Linked DNA regions of Anolis sagrei. The main gene of each other region encodes a partner of the protein of the gene in region 2 in a complex. Links are inferred from orthologs where the notes say so. Each region holds a gene or a part of one and is shown on either strand. Other genes may lie near its edges.

The links.
Region 1: TAF11 (region 2) and TAF6 share a complex: the UniProt entries of both Homo sapiens proteins name them as parts of the TFIID basal transcription factor complex. The link is inferred for Anolis sagrei from reciprocal best matches to the Homo sapiens genes TAF11 and TAF6.

What each region holds. Positions count from the first base shown.
Region 1 is NC_090026.1:539,764-547,375, forward strand, and holds the start of TAF6 (transcription initiation factor TFIID subunit 6), read right to left. Parts: upstream 3,022-7,612; 5' UTR 2,908-3,021; coding exon 2,722-2,907; intron 953-2,721; coding exon 866-952; intron 115-865; coding exon 1-114. Other genes in the region: MBLAC1 (metallo-beta-lactamase domain-containing protein 1), read left to right, coding at 5,443-6,090. UniProt on the Homo sapiens protein: The TFIID basal transcription factor complex plays a major role in the initiation of RNA polymerase II (Pol II)-dependent transcription.
Region 2 is NC_090024.1:189,429,064-189,436,106, reverse strand, and holds the start of TAF11 (transcription initiation factor TFIID subunit 11), read left to right. Parts: upstream 1-4,035; 5' UTR 4,036-4,069; coding exon 4,070-4,222; intron 4,223-5,883; coding exon 5,884-6,026; intron 6,027-6,661; coding exon 6,662-6,749; intron 6,750-6,985; coding exon 6,986-7,043. UniProt on the Homo sapiens protein: The TFIID basal transcription factor complex plays a major role in the initiation of RNA polymerase II (Pol II)-dependent transcription.

The DNA of each region.
Region 1 (7,612 bases), on a different chromosome or scaffold from region 2:
GTTGATGATGTCGCTGAGGTCCACCTCCTTCTCCTCGTAGAAGTACAGCTCGCGCCCGCCACCGCTGGCAAAGCGGAAGGGGATGAACTCCTGTGCGCAGAAGCCGTACAAGGGCTGCAAAGGGAAGGGGAGGAGTCAAAGCTAAGCCCCGCCCCCTCCAGGCCACACATCAAGGAACACCCTCCTTAGGCCCCTCCCATTTACTCAAGGAAGCCTCGCCCCTTCTCTAGACCCCGCCCCCTCCCTCTCTCAGGACCGGGGAGCCTCAATCCAGACTCCAAGGGGGGCTCAAGGAAGCCCCTCCCCTCCCTGGGCGGTAGAAGGGGTGGGGCGTGTCAAGGCAAGGCCAGAGGAAGCCCCGCCCCTCACTCAAGGAAGCCCTGCCGCCAGTCCCCTAATCAAGGGAACCCTCCCCTAGGCCCCTCCCACTCTCAAAGAGGCACCCCCTTCATGCCCTCTCTTGGCTGGGGGGGGGAGAAGGGGAGGGACTGTCAAGGCAAAGGCTTGCCCCCTCCCATAAGTAGCCACACCCCCTTTCCTGGCCCCTCCCCTCTCCAATGAAGCCCCGCCCCCTCCAAATCCCTAATGGGGAAAGACTTGCCTAGAACCCTCCCTCTCCCTCAAGGAAGCCCCCCCCTCTCCAGGCTACATCCCTCTTTTCCCTGGGCCCCTCCCCTCTCTCAATAAAGCCACACCCCTACAGACCCCTAATCAAGGAAGCCATCCCTCTCACAAGCGAGCCCCTCCACTCAGTGAAGTTCTGCCCCCTTCTCTAAGCCCCGCCTCTCTCTCGATGAAGCCATGCCCCCAAGACCCTCCCTCTCACACACAGAAGCCCCACCCCCTCCCCTCCCCAGAGACTGACCTCCACATTCTTGAGCTTGAAGGCACAGTCAAGGTCGGCAGTGGCCAAGCTGCGCCGCTTGCCCATCCGCATGAACTTGAGCGCCTCCTGCAGGGGAAACAGGGAAAGGGGAGTCTCCGTCACGAAGGGGCCTTGTGGATGTCTGGGGGGGGGGGGAGAGGAGGTGTCACCAAAATTTGAGAAATGTGAATTGAATATTATGTGTAGGAATGAATGGAAGAATGGAAGATGAAGGTATGAGTGGTAGGGCTGTCCAAACACGGAAAAATTTGTTTCTAAACTCGATTCGTTTTTAGGGGTTTTTTGCGTTTCGTTATTTAAAAGAATTCCGAAATTTTCCTTTAAAAAAGTTCGATATTTACAAAATTTCGGAAATCAAAAAACCAATTACAAAACAATTATGAATCGATTACGAATCGATTCGTTAATGGCGGCCGCGATCGCTCAATACGCTAAAAAAACTTCTGAAGCTTCCCTCTCCCTCTGTTGTTGACTGTTGGTGTGATAATTATATTTTTTTTTCACTGAGAAAACAAACAGCAACCCTAAAACGTGCACCAGACATGCGGAAATAATAACGAAACATTTACGAATCAATAACAAATCAATAACGAATCAATTTCGAAAAGAATTGGAAAAATTCGTTTCGTTTTTTAGTTGCTCCTGAATGGTTCAATATCGCTTCGTTATTTTAAAAAAAATAACGAATTTTTAACGAATTACGAAATTACGAAACAAAACCGCCCAACCCTAATGAGTGGATTTAATAATTTTGGAAGCACCAGTAAAATATGAAGGCCTGCAATGACTAACTACCTGTTTGCTGGACTGTAATTAAAAGTTGCTAATAAGAACTGAAAAGTCAACTCTGATAAGGACTGTGACATTTGCTGGACTGTAATTAAAGGTTGCTAATAAGAACTACAAAGTAAACTCTAATAAAACCGTGACAATGGTTCTTTCAAGTTAAGGAAATGTTTGCAACCTTCCTTATGTTAAGAAGGAAGTCAACACAAGCCTTGTGTTTGTCAACACCAATCAAGAAGATCAACATCTGGCTACCATTCATTTATTAACTTTATTTGTACCCCGCTAGCATCTCCCGAAGGACTCGATGCGGCTTACACGGGCCGAAGCCTCAAATACAATACAATAGAAACATAACACAACAATAAACAAAGCAAATCAAAACAATTAAGCAAAATAACCACAATGACAATACATCAAGACATTATTAAAACTGGTTCGGCCAGCGCAATGGGGTGCAGGGTTAAAAGTGCTGAGATGGCAGGAGGAACGTAAGATTAAAAGTGCGGTGTGCAGCAACAATAGTTGTGCTAAAGTGCTTCTAGGACTTGGGATGGGGATTCCTAATCTGCGAAGGCACATCGGAACAGCCAAGTTTTTAGGTTCCTTCTGAAAACTGCTAGGGTAGGGGCCTGACGAAGCTCTTTTGGAAGGGCATTCCAAAGTCGGGGGGCCGCCGCAGAGAAGGCCCTGTCCCGTGTCCCCACCAAGCGCGCTTGCGACGTAGGCGGGATCACGAGCAGGGCCTCCCCAGATGACCGGAGTGAGCGTGTGGGTTCGTAGATGGAGATGCGGTTACAGCTTTGGGACGACATCAAGAGAATATTCCTATAAAAGACTCAGTCTAATAATGCTCAAAGTGTGGCAGACCTGAGGAGTCTGTTCCACCCGCCATGCTTTGCTCCATGGGAAGGACAGAGATGGTGTATTCAGAGAGTGTCAGATATGCTATTAGCATAGCACAGAAGACAAAGTGGAGTCCCAGAGTCCCCTTGTGCCTGTGTGTGGGGGAGGGGTCCCTGCCCCTTCCCCCCCCCCCTTATTCTGACCTGGGCGACCTGCTTGAGGCGGTAGCTGACCTCCTCGGCCAGGAGCTGGCAGCTTTCCTCGGGCAGCGCCGCCAGGCCCACCGCCTCCGCCATCGCCTTCACAGACTCCGGGGGCACCTGCCCCGCCACACCACCGCCGCCGCCCCCTCCGCCGCCCCCCTTCCCCGCACGCTTCTCCTCCGCCATCGCCCCTTCCCTCACTCCCTCACTCCCCGGCCGGAGGAGGGCGGACTCCTAGAGCGGGAGCTCCCGCCGCCTCAAGACCCGCCAATGGCTTCCCTCCTTCCACTGCGCAGGCGCCGCGCCACCGAGACGAGGGCTGACTCCTAGAGTGGGCGTTGCCGCAAGCCCCGCCAATGGCTTCCCTCCTCCCACTGCGCAGGCGCCGCGCCACCGAGACGAAGGAAGATTCCTAGAGCGGGTGCCGCCGCAAGCCCCGCCAATGGCTTCCCTCCTCCCACTGCGCAGGCGCGGCGCCACCGAGACGAAGGGAGATTCCTAGAGCGGGTGCCGCCGCAAGCCCCGCCATTGGCTTCCCTCCTCCCACTGCGCAGCCGCCGCGCCACCGAGACGAAGGGAGATTCCTAGAGCGGGTGCCGCCGCAAGCCCCGCCAATGGCTTCCCTCCTCCCACTGCGCAGGCGCCGCGCCACCGAGACGAAGGAAGATTCCTAGAGCGGGTGCCGCCGCAAGCCCCGCCAATGGCTTCCCTCCCCCCACTGCGCAGCCGCCGCGCCACCGAGACGAAGGAAGATTCCTAGAGCGGGTGCCGCCGCAATTCCCGCCAATGGCTTCCCTCCTCCCACTGCGCAGGCGCCGCGCCACCGAGACGAGGGCTGACTCCTAGAGTGGGCGTTGCCGCAAGTCCCGCCAATGGCTTCCCTCCTCCCACTGCGCAGGCGCGGCGTCACCGAGACGAAGGGAGATTCCTAGAGCGGGCACTCCCGCCGCCGCAAGTCCCTCCAAATGCCTTTCCTTCCTCCCCACTGCGCAGGCGCGGCGCCACCGTAACGAGGACGGACTCCTAGAGCGGAGCGATTTCTCCCCAGGCTCCGCCCATGCTCTTCCGGCTCCACTGCGCCTGCCCAAAAGAACTGGTCGCTCCTGAGGCTTGGCTCGAGTTGATCGTGGCCACCGAGAGGAGGGGAGATTCCTAGAGCGGCGCTCCCGCCTCAAGGCCGGCCGATGGCTTTCCCCCCCCCACACACACACACTGCGCAGGCGCGGCGCCACCGAGACGAGGATGGACTCCTAGAGCGGGGCGCTCTCGCCCCCATGCTCCGCCCATGCACTTCCGGCTCCATTGCGCCTGCCCAAAAGGGCTAGTCGCTCCTGAGGCTTGACACGAGTTGGTTGAGGAAGGGAAAACTCGGCTACTCCCACCATTCCTCACAACCGGTATCATTATATTATTATTATTATTATTATTATTATATTTCTTTATATATATTATTTTTCATATAATAATAATAATATCTTGTTTTAATATTATTAATTTATCATTTTTATATTATTTAAATATTTATTACTATTTTATCGTTTTACCATTATTTTATAATGATAATATTGTTATATTTATGACATCATTTTCATAATATTATGTTATTAATTAATTATTGTATTATTCTTTTATGGTTTCATAACAATATTGTAGTTATTACATTATTATCATAACATGTTATTATTTTTGTTTTGTTTTGTCATTGTTTTATAATAATAATATTGTATTTATTATATTGTTTTATAATAGTATTGTTTTTATTATTATATTATCGTCATAATCTTGTATTGTTTGTTAATATTTTATGGTTTTAATGTTTTATTATTTGATAATATTATAATATTTATTATTGTATTATTTTCATAATATAATGTTAATTATATATTATTCTATTATTATTTTTTACATTATAATATAATATGTTATTATACCATTTTCATAATATTGTATTATTTGTTAGTGTTTTATCATTTTTTGTTTTATTGTTGTTTGATAATATTATTATATTTATTATTATATCATTTTCATAATATAAAATTTATTAATATATTATTATATTATTGTATTACATTATTATATAATATGTTATTATTATTTTCATAATATTGTATTATTTGTTAATTTTTATCAGTTTTTTGTTTTATTGTTGTCTGATAATATTATATTTATTATTATATCATTTTCATAATATAAAATTTATTAATATATTATTATATTATTGTATTACATTATACTATAATATGTTATTATTATATTATTTTAATAATATTGTATTATTTGTTAATGTTTTATCGTTTTTTGTTTTATTATTGTTTGATAATATTGTTATATTTATTATTATATTATTTTCATAATATAATGTTTAATAATATATTATATTATTGTTATATTACATTATACTATAATATGTTTATATTATTATTATCATTATTATTATTATTATTATTGGCTGTTAGAAGTTGAAGTCCAAAACACCTGGAATGAGTGAGGTAGGGAAGGAAGACCTGTAAATCTATAATAATAATAATAATAATAATCCTTTATTTATACCACGCTACCATCTCCCGCAGGACTCGGTCCGGCTTACAAGGACTGAAGTCCAAAACACCTGGAATGAGTGAGGTAGGGAACAACAACAATACAACAATAAATAACTCACCTACACCGTAGTCTCTCTCCTCTCTCCCCCAGGAAGAAGCCCCTCCACTCCTGAGGAGGATAATGTCATCGCCGTCATCGGCCGTCCCTCTGGTGATGGGGGGCTCCCCGTACTCGGTGGTGGTGCTGCAAGAGGGCTTCTCGGAGGCCTTGCCGGACGGCGGGATGCGGGCGGAGGGGACGGTGGGGCTGGTGCTGGGCCCGCAGCCGACCCTGGTGGACACGGGGGGGCCCTGGGGCCGGGAGCGGCTGCTGGCGAACCTGGCCGCGCGGGGGGTCTCCCCGGGGGAGGTGCGGCACCTGGTCTGCACCCATGGCCACTCCGACCACGCCGGGAACCTCAACCTCTTCCCCTCGGCGCAGCTGGTGATGGGGACGGACGTCTCCCTCCCGGGGGGGCGCTACCTGCCCACGGGGCTGCGCCAGGGCCAGCCCTACGTCCTGCACGAGGGGCACCTGGAGGTGCTGCCCACCCCGGGACACACCGCCGCCGACGTCAGCCTCCTGGTGCGCGGCACGGAGTTGGGGGACGTCCTGCTGGCCGGGGACCTCTTCGAGCGGGAGGGGGACGAGGGCGTCTGGGAAGAACTCAGCGAAGACCCCGCCAGGCAGGCACAGAGCCGGGCACGGGCCTTAGAGCTGGCCGACATCATCGTGCCCGGGCACGGGGGCCCCTTCCGGGTCGACAGGAGGAAGAGGAGCCAGCAGTGACCTTCCCTGACCCTCCTCCTCTTGGGTCTTGCTGCCCTTCCGGGTCAGCAGGTGGGGAGGCCGTAGAGGGCAAGCAGCAGGAGTGACCAGCAGTGGCCCAACTTGGGGTCTCCATGAAGAGAATGATGCTCCAGCCAGCAGTGACCTTCAGTGACCTGCCTCCAGTTGGGTCTTGCTGCCCTTACGGGTCAGCAGGTGGGTCAGCAGGTGTGGGGGGGCTAGAGGGCGAGCTGCAGGGGTGACCAGCAGTAGCCCACCTTGGGGTCTCCATGAAGAGAACGATGCTCCAGCCAGCAGTGACCTTTAGTGACTTGCCTCCAGTTGGGTCTTGCTGCCCTTATGGGTCAGCAGGTGGGTCAGCAGGTGTGGGGGGGCTAGAGAGCGAGCAGCAGGAGTGACCAGCAGTGGCCCAATTTGGGGTCTGCATGACTTGGGGTCTCCATGACTCGGGGTCTCCAGCAGTGACCTTCCAGGACTCACATCCAATTGGGTCTTGCTGCCCTTCCGGCCCAAGAGGTGGATGCCCCCTGGAGCAGCAGCAGCAGGAGTGACCAGCAGTGACTGACCGTCCGTTCTCTAGGAAGAGAGTGACGCTCCAGACCAGCAAGACCCTCGAAGCAAGCGCCTCAATGACAAAGGGCAGAGCAGAGAGCAGGGGTCTTCTGGGGAGAGTTTTTGGGGAGGGGTCTCTGGCAGGTCCTCAGCAATGAGGGGCAACCGGAAAAGGAGTGACCAGCCCTGACCTTCCTTGACCCCCCTCCAATTGGAACAAATGGAAGTAAATAATCAAGAGGGGACCTTTCCCCTGATGGCACGTGAGCCGATCAGGGACACAATAAAATAACTAAAAGTGGGCTGCTGTGAGTTTTTTGGCCGATATGTCCCAGTAGCATTCTCTCCTGACATTTCTCCTGCATCTGTGGCAGGCATCCTGAGAGGTTTGTTCAGAGGTCTTTTGGAAATGAGGCCAGCGGAGTGTAGATGTATCTATCTATCTACCCATCTACTTGTGGAATGAAGTCCCGGGTCAGAGAAAGAACCCTTGCCTGTGTGAAGCGAGTGCGAGTGTTGCAACGAGCAAGCTTGAGTAGCCATGAAGCTGCAAAGCCAGTCAGTGTTGTTGCCTGGAGGCACCCTCTGTTTAGGAGGTGTTCACTGGCACCGGTTTGTTTGCTGTCTGGAATCCCACTAAACTAAAAGTGTGTCTCAGGTGGTTGCTGAGGAAAAGAAGGGAGGACTCGGGTTGAATATTCCTTTCCTCTCTGGGAAGAGGAACCCTTTGGGTCAGCAGGAGGAGGGGTCCCGGACCCAGCAATGACCTTTCCTGACCCATCTTGAGATCTCTGTGAGGAGAGAGACCCTCCAGGCCAGCAACGCCATTAAAGCCTCAATAAAAAAGAATGGAGCAAGGGCAGGAAGGGTCTTTTGGGGGGAGGAAGGAAGGGGCAGTGTCAATGGGAGGGACGGAGGGTCTTCCATGGGGAAGCAATAGCTGACCATTAGGGGACTGTGGCTGCAACAA
Region 2 (7,043 bases):
TCACTAAGTATTTATCCCACCTTGCCCACTGAAATAATAAATGGCATGTCACATTGAGATGGTGTTGGTTCTCCTGGTAGGGAACATACTAAACTCTTTCACCAGTGAGTTGACTTGATGGATAAAGGCATCTGCAGTTAATTTCCCCTCTACTTACTGCAAATGTATTGGAAGTGGTAGCTTGAACTCAAAGGCACAATCAACCTTCAATCATAAGTTCTGATTTGCATTCTGTTGCTGCAATATTTCAATTTTGTATCTGTGTCTGGTGCAAGTTTTATATATGTGTGTGTGTGTTTGATCAAAATTGTTTATTTTATATATTTTATGTTAATATGTTTTTGACTATGTTGTATCCCGCCTCGAGCCATCAAGAGATACAAGTAATAAGAAATTTATAATTTTTATTACTATTATCATTATTACTTGAACTCTGGAATATGTCAATGTGTGATTTCCTGTATTCTTTTCCTATACTATTTACACCATGCTCATACTTGAAAGCATTGCACTAAATCAAATTAGTTCCAACTAGAATAGCCCCATTGAACCAGTGGGACTAACATATGTGTTGATTTATTATCCAGCAGCTGATGTACTGGGGCCCCTTCTACACTGTCATATAATCCAGATTATCGAAGCAGATAAATCACATTATCTGCTTTGAACTGGATTATATGAATCTACACGATCACATAATCCAGTTGAAAGTAGAGAATCTGGACTTTATATGGCAATGTAGAAGGGGCCTGGGAGTACTCTAATTAGTACTAACAATTTAATATAGCCCATTATCTTGTCAGATGTAGGGTGTATCTATGCTGTCAAATTAATGCAGTTCCATAGCACTTTAATTCTCATGGCTCCATGCTATAGAATCCTGGGACTCTGCCAAAGAGTGCAGGTGCCTCAACACAGGCTCTCTTGAGCTCATTTTGCTGATGTCAATTAAACAACATTAAACAGGGCTCTGAAAATGAAATTTTCAGTACAGGTTCATCAAGTTAGGCTAGATTGCTATCACATCTGAAGTATGCTTCAGAGACAAGTATGTGCTGGCCATTGCTCCCCTCCCTCTTGTTATAGTCAGTTGTAAACAAATTCTCCACATATCTAGAATGTGAAGAAAAGCTGTTGTGGGTTGCTGTGAGTTTTCTGGGCTGTATGGTCATGCTCCAGAAGCATTATCTCCTGACGTTTCACCCACACATATGGCAAGCATCCTCAGAGGTTGAGGAATCTGTTGGAAACTAGGCAAGTGAGGTTTATATATCTGTGAAATGTCCAGGGTGGGAGAAAGAACTCTTGTCTGCTTGAGGTAGGTGTGAATGTTGCAAATGGCCACCTTGAGTAACATTTAATGGCCTGGCAGCTTCAATGCCTGGCTGATTGCTGCCTGGGGGATTCTTTTGTTGGGTGGTGTTACCTGATGGAGTATTGTCTGGAATTCCCCTGTTTTCAGAGTGGTGTTCTTTATTTACTGTCCTGATTTTAGAGGGTTTTTTAAAATACTGTTAGCCAGATTTTGTTAATTTTCATGCCTAGTTTCCAATGTATCCCTTAACCTCTGAGGATGCCTGCCACAGATGTGGGCAAAATGTCAGGAGAGAATGCTTCAGCAGCATGGCCATAAAGCCCGGAAAACTCACAGCAACCCAGTGATTCCGGCCACTAAAGTCTTCGACAACACAAAAGCTATCATGCTTTTAGGAAAGTAATAGAATATTTGATTTTCACCAGAGATTTAATAATATTAGCAACTCTGAGGCTATATAGACCCAAGTGCCTGCATGCCTTTGATTTTCATACATACGAGGGGTGTCCATTAAAGATTTCCCCAACCCTCTTCTATTTATCACAGGATGCTGAAACTGCACATGTGTAATGATATAAGTCTCTATACGTTTGTGCCAATTTACACCTCAGAACGGATAACAGTCTTGATTTTACAGGTGTTGAAGTGGTGTGAGGTTTGATAATGGACCCAGTGGAATACATAGCAATCCTCAAGTTCCTTTACTTGAAAGGCTGCATACCAAAGGAGGCGTTAAATAAGATGAAAAAGGTTTATGGTGATGATTCTCCATCATATGAGGTAGTCAAGAACTGGCATCGTCAATTCAGATGTGGTCAGACTTCGGTGGAAACAGCTCCAACTCTAGGAACAACCCATTCTGCTATTGATGAACACATCATCCAGCAAGTGGAGGTCACCATTTTGGAAAATTGCCATTCACCACCTAGCCTGATATGTCAAGATTATTGTGGAGTCTTTGGAAAAAATCTCCCAAGACCATCTTCACATGCATAAGGTATCCTCTCGCTGGGTCTAGGTAGAGAAGGACTAATAACTGTGTCAAGTTTGATTGCTCTCAGTCCACAGGAAGTGGGTCAGGGAAAATCTTTAATGAATGCCCCTCATATCTGTTGTTTCGACATTTCTGTTCACTGAAGGCTACAACTGAAAGAAAGATGGTAGAAAACCATGCCTCACATGTGTGTTAATTTAAAACATACCAAAGCGTGCCTGAATCCTGACCACCTCAGTATTGAGGAAGTTCTCAAATACACAACTAAAACATCTCCTTGGACAGTGATAATACAAACAAAATAGGTTGAGCATCATTTATCCAAAGTTCTGGAATATGAAACATGCCGAAATTGTCCGTATGGGCAGCTGTGCTTTTTGATGGTTCAATGTACACAAACTTTGTTCAAGGCACAAAAATATTGTGTGTAGAATTGCTTTTGGCCTATGTGTATATGGTGTATATGAAACACAAATGAATTTATTGTTTAATCAGGTTCCATATTCAAGATATTTTGTGCATAGAAGGCATGATAATTAAGTTTGCAGATGACACCAAATTGGGAGTGATAGCCAATATTCCAGAAGACAGGAGCAGAATTCAAAACGATATTAACAGATGAGATGGGCCAGAACTAACAAAATGAAGTTTAACAGTGACAAATGCATGATACTCCAGTTAGGCAGAAAAAAAAATGAAATGCAAAGATACAGAATGGGGGATGCCTGGCTTGAGAGCAGTACATGTAAAAAAGATCTTGGGGTCCTCGTGGACAACAAGTTAAACAAGAGCCAACAATGTGATGCGGCAGCAAAAAAAGCCAATGGGATTTTGGCCTGCATTAATAGGAGTATAGCATCTAGATCCAGGGAAGTAATGCTACCCCTCTATTCTGCCTTGGTTAGACCATAACTGGAATACTGTGTCCAATTCTGGACACCACAATTGAAGAGAGATATTGACAAGCTGGAATGTGTCCAGTGAAGGGCAACTAAAATGATCAAAGGTCTGGAGAACAAGCCCTGTGAGGAGCGGCTTAAAGAACTGGGCATGTTTACCCTGCAGAAGAGAAGGCTGAGACACGATAACCATGTATAAATAAGTGTGGGGAAGTCACAGTGAGGCGGGAGCAAGCTTGTTTTCTGCTGCCCTGGAGACTAGGACACGGAACAATGGCTTCAAACTACAAGAAAGGAGATTTCATCTGAACACTAGGAAGAACTTCCTGACTGTGAGACCTGTTCAGCAATGGAACCCTCTGCCCTGGAGGCTTTTAATCAGAGACTGGATGGCCATCTATTGGGGGTGCTTTGAATTCAATTTTCCTGCTTCTTGGCAGGGGGTTGGAATGGATGGCCCACGAGGTCCCACGAGGTCTCCTCCAGTTCTAGGATTTGAAAAAATAAAATAGAAATGTTTTTGATCCCAAGCATTTCGGAGAAGGGCTGCAGCTTGGGGCACATCTACACTGTAGAATTAGTGAAGTTTGACACCGCTTAATGCTATGAACTTATGGGAGTTGTAGATTTGCAATTTTTTTTATCCTCCTCTGCCTCAGAGTGGTGGGACTTCACCAAACTACCACTCCCAGATTCCAATGCCGTTAAAAGTGGCATCAAATCCATACAGTGCAGTGCTGTAAGGACACAGTTGCTTCCATGAGAGCTCAGGCTTGGGCTGGCTTCTTCCGTTGCCAAGGAAACGAAAGGGCAAGGCGGCTGCGATGACGTCATCAGGGCGCGACAGAGGCCTTTCCCAGTATGGCGGAGCCGGCGGTGTCTCGCAGAGAAGAAGCCGTGCTTGTGTCCGGTGCGACTTCGGGCGAGGAGCCGCCTGTCTCTGCTGCGGGGGCGGCTGACGGGAAGGAGAAGGGCCCCGGGGAGCCGAAGGAGCGGGAAGCGGCGCCTGGAGAGGTGGGAAGGGAGGGGAGGGCCTTCTATGATCTTTCAGCTTTGAGCCAAGGCTGTTCTAATGGGAGCAGGCCGCATTTATGCTGCAGCAGGCCTGGGCAAACTTGGGCTCTCCTTCCAGGTGTTTTGGACTCCAACTCCCACCATCCCTCACAGCCTCAGGCCCCTTCAAACTGGTGGCCAGAGATAACAAACTGTCACAAAAAATGTGCAAAATAAAGCCCTCAAGGTGCATCAGTGCTTTGTGTCATCATCATGCAGGCTTCAGATTCATTCCAGGATCTCCTAAGCAACCATCTACACAGCAAAACCACGTTTTTCAATACTGGTTTGAAGCAGCATTAAATGGTCAGTGTAGATGTGCCCTGTGTTATCTGAAAATTGTGTCACCCCCCAGAACTGTTTTTGCAAATTCAAAGGAAAGGGGCTGCATGGAGAATGGAGGATTGCACACTGTGATGGAACCCCTCTTCAGGTTGATGTCGTGTTCAAACCCTTGAGATTTTCCCAGGCTCAGGCAGGCCTTCAAATGCTAATGAAGGTGGTCAGTTGAAACATTCACACCTAGCTCTAGCAGGGAAGAGCTCTTTGCCCCACCCCAGCCATTCCACAGATATATAAACCCATTGTCCTATTTCCAACAGACCTCACTACCTCTGAGGATGCTTGCCATAGATGCAGGCGAAACGTCAGGAGAAATGCCTCTAGAACATGGCCCTATAGCCCGAAAAAACCCACAAGAACCTAGTGATTTCAGCCATGAAAGCCTTCGACAATACCTTGAGCTTCTGTCACTCATCTTGCCCTTTTACCTTAAAGATTCCCTCCCAGGACCTGATACTGAGGCTTCATGGAGACCACTGCACTGGGCAAGTGAATGGGTGATCAGTGATAAAAGGGCAACCACCTCTAGTTCAAAGAAAGTCATTTCTCCTTGAACCTTTACAACTCTTTCAGCTCCCTAAAACCTATTACAATTTTATGAATCCATCTCTTTCTACAAGGTCCTGAGTTTTATCCATATTCCTGTGTTTCTGAAGGACCCCGGCTCTTTAACAGACAAGCCTCTACATCAGAACTTTTAAAACATTTTCCACTTGCAACCCCTTTCTGTCTGATAATTTTTATGCGATCCCAGGTATATAGGTATATAAAATAGGTATAAAAATTACACATTTACTGATAATAAATCAGCATTTGCAAGGCTTGCTAAACAGAATGATTTTACTTTTTGAAAAGTATAGCTGAAACATTTTCAGCGGAATCCACTGTAAACACTGTTGCTAACAGTTTTGTGTAAATCGGTGGTATTCAGAACCTTTTACTGCTGCCACCCCAAAATTGACTTTATTTGGGGTCAGGACCCACAGTTTAAGAAGCAATGATCTATATTTTCTCCTTTCCACTACAAGTCTCTCATCACAGCATTCTGTAATTGTAATAGGCTGGCTCTTTACTTCACACACACACTTCCCAGTTAGACCTGGCCCTGCCATTCTGCCAGAAGAATGCTATCTTTGTGTTTTGCCCATTTAAGACAGATTCTTAAATTGAATTTTTTAGTGTTTATCAGCTATGATTTATAAGTTCTGTCATGAGTTATGGTTAGACATTTAAGAACTATGTTAGGATTATAGCTAAGCTGAAAATAATTTTCTTCTTAGATCAGAACTGAGGATTCTGTAGGTCTGCTCACAGGAGAGACAGAGGAGTCAACATCTTCTGCAAGCAAGAAAGTAAAAATAGAGATAAAAGATAAAAAAGATAAAAAGAATAAAGTTGATGAAGATGAGATTCAAAAAATGCAGTGAGTACTCTTATTTTACCTGATGCATAACTTTCGTTGTTCCTAATAACCTGTAGAAGACTAAACTTGCTAGTGAACAATATTGTACTTTTTTGTTTCGCGCTGTTATTTATTGGAGATACACGCTATTAAGCACTTGATGGGGCTTGCAACCTCTTTGTCTATGCTTCCCCCCCATAAAGATGGAAAAGCTTATTTCAAATAAGTATGTAATAATTACTCCTAAATTAATTTATTGATATGCATTCCTGTCCCTTTTAGACTATTTTTACGGGACTGGATCCAGAAAGCCAGTGCATGCATATTCCTTTGTCTGCAGTAGCAGTCTGTGCATCCCTTAAAAGTTTGGTTCCTGGTGTGAGATATCCCTGGGAGCACTGGAGGAAATAAAATTGAAATTAGTGAAACTGATGCTTCCCTCTCCCAATCAGCAGGAACATTCATAATGGAATATGCGTCAGAGCTACCATTGATGCAAACAAAGTCTGGAGTCAATCCATTCTTTTATCAATAGGAATTATGTTATGGTATTGTCTCTGACTTCCAAAGCTGTGTGCTTCCTGTAGCTTTAAGTGTGCTACCAGTTGTAGATCGAATGATGTCTCTAATTCCATGCTGTTATTGTTTTCCTCAAGAATACTAGTTTCCTCTTTTTCTGAAGAACAGCTAAATCGCTATGAGATGTATCGTAGATCAGCTTTTCCGAAGGCTGCTATTAAACGGGTAAGGTTGTGCTTTAGTCTGGTTTGAACTGTTTTAGATTTGCCTGTTGATTTGATCACTATGTGTAATATGAAGAATGTAGATGCAGTGTTTTGACTGGATAAAATCTGTCATTTTGACTTATCCCAGTCAGTGATGCAGCTACTAGGATTGTTATTACATAAGGATGTATAAGATTTAAAAATTACAAATGCACATTTATAAAACTGGATTTTGTATCCTTTCTCCTTTCTCAGTTGATCCAGTCAATTACTGGAACCTCTGTCTCTCAGAATGTGGTTATTGCCATGTCAG